Linked DNA regions of Sus scrofa. The protein of the gene in region 2 binds, or shares a complex with, the protein of the main gene of each other region. Links are inferred from orthologs where the notes say so. Each region holds a gene or a part of one and is shown on either strand. Other genes may lie near its edges. The genes, in order: GIP and GIPR.

Region 1 (2,651 bases), on a different chromosome or scaffold from region 2:
TGCTGTGGCTGCGGGGTAGGCTGGCAGCTACACCTCCAATTCGATTCCTAGCCTGGGAACCTCCATATGCCACAGGTGCGCCCTCCCCCAAAAAAGGAGTGAATATCCCCAAAGTAATCTCTTGGGGTTTTGGAATGCATTCTGGGGAACACTTTTCGAGGTGGATGGGTGGGCTGGCTTCCGCTGGATTTCTTTGTCTCTGCCTCTATTGAAGAGCCTATAGTACCAGGCAGACAGATCTGGGTGGAGCTTTGAAAGCTGAGATAACTGAGAGGCAGCTGTGTTGACTTGCACCCCGCCCCCGACCCTGTCCCGCCATCTTGGAGTCCCAAGCCCTGTATTTACTCTCTTGCGGTGGGGCCCAGGCTAAAAGGGCCTGCCGGAGACTTTCTCCTTTGTAGCTCCCTCCCCCAGAACCCCGGTGATGATGATGTGCTAAAGGATGTACTGACTCGAGAGCTGCTGGCCTGGCTGGTGGAGCAGTTGGAGCTCTGCAGACTCCGGTAAGACTTTGGTGGCTTTGGGTGTCTTGCATAGGGTGGTTGTGAGCTTGAGCTTTGGGGTCAGATGTGCGTTCAGCTCTTTGCCCCAACACACACTAACAAATTACTTGGACTCTCTGAGCCTCAGGGTTTTCATGAAAATTGGGGCTAGTGAAACCACTTCAGGGGATTTGGTGGGATTTAAACAAGATAATGCAAGGGACAGGCCGAGAGCAACATCTGCAGAGTACCAAGAGTTTGGTCATGTGGACAATTATTAGTACTACTTGCATTTCTCCCTCAATGTCCTCCAGGTGAGACACTGCTCTCACCTCCCCTGCCCACCTGAGCCCATCCTATCCTTAGCTTTCCTCCTGTATCCTTGTGCCATGCGCAACTTCTCGATGATGGACCCACGAGAGATGGAGGCACGTTGCCCTTCTCTGTAGCTGCTGCTGGTCTCAGTAGTCCTTGAATCCATCTCATCAGCTAGGAAGTCTTTCCGTCTCTTATGTCTCAGAAGCAAGGGATGGCTCAAAACCATGGAACAGGAGTTCCCGTCGTGGTGCAGTGAATAACGAATCCAACTAGGAACCGTGAGGTTGCAGATTTGATCCCTGGCCTTGCTCAGTGGGTTAAGGATTCGGCGTTGCTGTGAGCTGTGGTGTAGGTTGCAGACGAGGCTCAGATCCTGAGTTGCTGTGGCTCTGGCGTAGCCCAGTGGCTACAGCTCCAATTAGACCCCTAGCCTGGGAATCTCCATATGCCATGGGTGTGGCCACAGAAAAGGCAAAAAGACAAAAAGACAAAAAGCAAAAAACAAAACCATGGAACAGATCCTTCCACTTGAAGGGTCAGACAGGACCCTCAATTAAGATGCAGAGGACGGAGTTCCCTTGGGTAGGACAGCTTAAGGATCTGGCATAGTCCCTGCTGTGGCGCCGTTTTGATTCCTGATACATGAAACTTCTGCATGATGCAAGTGTGCCCCCCCCCAAAAAAGATGCAAACACCAAGGCACAGAAACAAAAATAAATTCAGACTTCAGTTCTGGGAAGTTGAGGGACAGAGGGGACAAATTTGGGATGACTTCCTGTACGAGGGTTTGAAGGAAGAGATGGATGTGACCAGAACGGTGAAGAAGAGAGTATGAGAAAGTCTCCCCAGGAAGATGGATAACAGTCTCTGTGCTTTTGGGAATCATTTTGATGATTTATAATTAAAAAGGTAATCTGGAGGTAGGAGCCTTTGAACTCTGGCTGGGCGCCAGGATAAATTTACTTTACTGACTCCAAGCCGATACTGACCCTCTTCTCCACCTCTCCCCCTCCTCCCTCTACTCTGCACAGGTTTCCGTGACACCGACCAAACCCAGCTCAGGATTGGACTCTGCCCTTCACGTACTGAGCTCCTGCCCCAGCTCCACTCCAGGATACCCCAAAGAAACCAAACTAAGTTTAAACCAAAATAAAATCTTTGTGCCCAAAGTCAAAACTTATTCGTGTGGCTACTGAGCACTGATTGCATCATTGTCCTCGTGTGTGTGTGTGTGTGTGTGTGTGTGTGTGTGTGTGTGTGTGCGCGCCACCAGGGCAAAGGAGATACGCCCCTACCCATCTGTCGATTCATCTGTTTTTTTCCACAAACACTTATTGGGCACTTAACATAGGCAGCGACTGTGCTGAACCCTGGGTATACAGCCTGAACCCTGGGTATACAGCAATGATGGAGACAAGACACCATCCTTGGTCCCAAGAAGTTTATAGTCTAGTGGTGGAGAGAGACCTTAATCTTTTCTTTTCTTTTCTTTTCTCTCTCTCTCTCCCTCTCTCTCTCTCTCTCTCTCTCTCTTTTTCTTTCTTTCTTTCTTTTTAGGGCTGCATCTGAGGCATATGGAAGTTCCCAGGCTAGGGCTTGAATCAGAGCTGCAGCTGCCAACCTACAGCACAGCTCACAGCAATGCTGCATCCTTAACCCACTGAGTGAGGCCAGGGATCAGAGCCTCATCCTCATGGATACTGGTTGAGTTTGTAACCTGCTGAGACAAAACAGGAACTCCTTTCTCCCCCATTTGTAAAAGTTTTATTGGAGTTCCCATCGTGGCTCAGTGGTTAACGCATCTGACTAGGAACCATGAGGTTGTGGGTTCGATCCCTGGCCTCACTCAGT
Region 2 (3,816 bases):
CTCCCTGCTGCTCTCCCCCGGGGGTTCTCCTCCCCTCTCTAGGCTTCTGCCTCCCCTTCCCGGCGGGGATTCCGCGGGTCTTGGGCCTGGCTGGGGGGCCGTGCGCGCGCTCTGACAGCTGCGGCGGGGTGGGGGGCGGGGGTTGGGGTCTGCACAGGGGCCCCCGCGCTTTTCGTCATTCCTTGGGTGATCGTCAGGTACCTGTACGAGGACACGCAGTGAGTCGTGGGGCCTGGGGCGGGGCTTGGGAGGTGGGCGGAGCTTTGAGGGACGTGGGCGGGGCGTGATGGAAATTTGGGGCGGTTCTAATTGCCCCTAGGGCCCGGGTGGGGTCTAAAGGAAGGATGTCGCTTAGAAAGTTGTGTTCGAGAAGTACGGTCCGGGGAGGGACGGGGACTGGGCCTAAATCATAGCAGGCGGGGCTTTAAGGAAATGTGGGTGTGGTTTTAAGGAAGGTGGGCGGGGCCTGGGGAGCTTGATCCCTTGAGCCTATGACTTTCTGTCTTAGCTCTACTCCCCCTCCTCCAGGTGCTGGGAGCGGAATGATATCAAGGCCATTTGGTGGATCATAAGAACCCCTATCCTCCTAACCATCTTGGTACGGACGGCCCCACCTCCTCCAGGCTGGTCTCAGGGATTTCCCACCCTGGGAAGCAGGGAGCTATGCTTTGTTTTCCAAGACAGTATGGGGCTGGTTGAGTCTTTCTCTCCCCACAGATTAATTTTCTCATCTTCATCCGCATCCTTGGCATCCTCCTGTCAAAGCTGAGGACTCGACAGATGCGCTGCCCAGATTACCGGCTGAGGTAAAGGAGGGCGGTGGGGATGGAGGGGAAAGTGGTTGTGTGCAAGATGGGGACCTGGGGCTGTGGGACCACTGCTACCCTCTACCCCCAGGCTGGCTCGCTCCACGCTGACACTGGTGCCTCTGCTGGGCGTCCACGAGGTGGTGTTTGCTCCTGTGACTGAGGAACAGGCCCGGGGTGCCCTGCGCTTGGCCAAGCTCGCCTTTGAGATCTTCCTCAGCTCTTTCCAGGTGCCTAAGCGGGGTGCAGGCTCTACACCCTTTGACATGGGGTCCTCCTACCCAGAGGGGCAGAGGGCTACAATCACCCTGGCGCAGGAGCCGCTGCAGCCACAGAATGGGGCATGAAGATGGGATTTTGTTTATTTATTCTACACAAAGTACTGAGCTAGCTACATTCCAGGCTGGGGAAGTGGCAGGGAGAAGAAGGAGACCAGGCAGCTCCAGAGGTGGTGCCTCCTGGTTCAGATCAAGGGCTTCGGGCCAAATTTAGGTTCTAGCACATTCCAGCTCTGTGGCCTTCACCTCGGGGCAGGAGCAAGGGTGAGGCAGGTGAAGTGCCTCAAGTGCAAAAGGGAAGGAGATGCTTGTTCAACCTTGCACTTGCTTGCCCTATTCTAGTCCCCACCCTGATTTACCTTGTTGGGCCTCAGTTTTCTCATCTCTAAAGTGGGGACAATACTAGTCTCTCTCCATAAGGCCGCTCATTCAAAAAATTCAGGAAAAATTTATTGAACACTTACTATGTATGAAGTCTTCTAGGCTTACTGCAGTAAAACGGCCAAGAACCAAGTAGTCCCTACCCTCTACTGGGAGAGGTAAATGCTAAAGATGCTACTATGTAAGTAAAATATACAGAATATCAGATGGTGAGATGTGCCTAGAGGAGGGGGGGGGAGTTCCGCTGTGGCAAAAGGGGATCTGCAGCGTCTCTGCAGCGCTGGGACATGGGTTTGGTCCCTGGCCACACACATTGGTTTAAGGATTCTGCATTGCTGCAGTTTCAGTGTAGGTCGCCACTGCCGCTGGGATCTGATCCTTGGCCTAGGAATTCCATATGCCACATGGCGGCCAGAAAAGAAAATAAATCAATAAATAAAAGAAAACTGAAGTGAGGAGCAGGCAAAGAAGGATGAAGTTACAGACAGGGTTAGGGAAGGCCTCTCTGAAAAGACACTGGAGCGGAGACCCAAAGAAGAGGAGGGAACAAGGCAAGAAGGTATTTGGGGAAATGTTCCAGGAAGAGAAACACCAAGTGCAAGATCCCTGGGGCAGAAGATGGTACCTGTCACCTGTCATGATGGAGAAAGGCCAGCACGCCTGATGCAGGACAGTCAGCAAGAGCAAGGTGGGGGTAGGACAGAGGTGAGGTACCTGGGCAGGTCCTTGGACCAATTGAAGACTTAAGCTCTCTCTCTGAATGAATTTTTTTTTTTTTTTTGGTCTTTTTAGGGCTGCACCTGAGGCATATGGAAGTTCCCAGGCTAGGGGTCAAATTGGAGATGTAGCTGCTGGCCTACACCGCAGCTCACAGCAACGCCAGATCCTTAACCCACGGAGTGAGGCCAGGGATGGAACACACATCTTCATGGATACTAGTTGGGTTCATCACCTCTGAGCCACAGTGGGAACTCCTTTCCCTCCGAATGAGGTGGGAGCCAAGGAGCAGAGGGACATAATCAGACTTAAACCGGACTGTGAAAAGTGATAATAAGTAACATCTTAATAATTACACAGGAAATAATTGTTTCATATTAACGTGTGGATTACTTAATTATAAATCTATTTTATATTTATTTAAATTTATATGTAAAATATGTAAAATTTAAATAAATATAAAAACAACTTTTTATTAAAGTTTATTAATAATATATATTATGTAGAAAGTTATTATGAGAAACAGAAAAAGGCTTAACTATTGTCCCATGCACCAGAGCGTCTTACATATTAATAATACCTCACTTCTCACAACCACCACTGTATTATTCCTCCATTTTCCAGATGAAGAAACTGAGGCACAGGGGTTAAGCAGCTTGCCCAAGTGGGGAAGCGGTTATTACATCCAAGCAGCCTACTTTTGGGGTCACCTGTTCTTAGCCTCCATCCCCAAGTGCTTAGAAAATTGACCAGGGCCAAGGGCGGAGTCGGGAGCCAGGGAGAAAGTGTCGGCAATAGCCTAAGACCAGAGTGGCAGCAGACGAGGTGGTCTGGGGCCTAGAAAGGGTCCGAAGTCATTAAGAGGTGTTTATAACCCCGCCCCCAGCCCCGATTTAACCCTGCGCCTCGTCTGGCAGGGCTTCCTGGTCAGCGTCCTCTACTGCTTCATCAACAAGGAGGTAGGGAGAGCCTCGGCCCGCCGCCCGCGCCCTCTGGCGGTCGCGCATGGAACGGCGCGCCCGGCGCCGCCTCTGAGCGCAGTCCCGTTGCAGGTGCAGTCTGAGATCCGCCGGGGCTGGCACCGCTGCCGCCTGCGCCACAGCCTCGACGAGGAGCCGCGCCAGCCCCGGGAGCGCGCCTTCCAGACCCTGCGCTTGGGCTCCGGCCACGGCCAGGTCCCCGCGGGCCGCTCTCCGTGCTCAAGGACCCTTCCAGGTCCCGGGGATGAGGCCAGCCATATCTTGGAAAGTTACTGTTAGGCGGCAGGATTCTTGTGTCTATTCAGTTAGCACGTATTTATTGAGCGCCTGCTGTGTACCAGGCCTGGTGAAAAGGGCGCTGGGGAAACGGGTGGTGATGGGGTGAAAGGAAACAGAAGACAAGGTCTCTGTTGTTTTAGGATCACAACTGAGTGGCAGGAACAGACCTGAGGCCGACTCATCAAGCTATATATACACGGTGGAAGAGCTTATCAAGAATCCTTAGAAGGGGGCCTAGGGTGGTCTTGGGGCATCTCTGAGGAGGTTACATTTAGGCCATGCCTGAAAGAGGTGCGAGACAGCTTTGGGAAGACTTGGCGACAAGATTCTAGGCAGAAGGAAGAGCATCTGCAAGGGCTCTGGGCAGCCAAGAAC

What was found.
Region 1: the proteins of GIPR (region 2) and GIP are in contact, whole or in part, in a cryo-EM structure (PDB 7RA3), measured with the Homo sapiens proteins. The link is inferred for Sus scrofa from reciprocal best matches to the Homo sapiens genes GIPR and GIP. Residues at the interface, in NP_000155.1 of Homo sapiens: Gln30, Thr31, Ala32, Leu35, Tyr36, Trp39, Tyr68, Trp71, Leu88, Trp90, Arg101, Arg113, His115, Asn120, Gln130, Arg131, Leu134, Glu135, Leu137, Gln138, Tyr141, Tyr145, Arg183, Ile187, Arg190, Asp191, Pro197, Gly198, Pro199, Tyr200; in NP_004114.1 of Homo sapiens: Tyr52, Ala53, Glu54, Gly55, Thr56, Phe57, Ile58, Ser59, Asp60, Tyr61, Ser62, Ile63, Ala64, Met65, Asp66, Lys67, Ile68, His69, Gln70, Gln71, Phe73, Val74, Trp76, Leu77, Leu78, Lys81.

What each region holds. Positions count from the first base shown.
Region 1 is NC_010454.4:25,160,108-25,162,758, reverse strand, and holds the end of GIP (gastric inhibitory polypeptide), read left to right. Parts: intron 1-401; coding exon 402-503; coding exon of another isoform or gene 504-507; intron 508-1,831; coding exon 1,832-1,841; 3' UTR 1,842-1,976; downstream 1,977-2,651. UniProt on the Homo sapiens protein: Potent stimulator of insulin secretion and relatively poor inhibitor of gastric acid secretion.
Region 2 is NC_010448.4:52,028,971-52,032,786, forward strand, and holds part of GIPR (gastric inhibitory polypeptide receptor), read left to right. Parts: intron 1-157; coding exon 158-218; intron 219-528; coding exon 529-598; intron 599-717; coding exon 718-806; intron 807-897; coding exon 898-1,036; intron 1,037-3,068; coding exon of another isoform or gene 3,069-3,099; coding exon 3,100-3,441; 3' UTR 3,442-3,816. UniProt on the Homo sapiens protein: This is a receptor for GIP. The activity of this receptor is mediated by G proteins which activate adenylyl cyclase.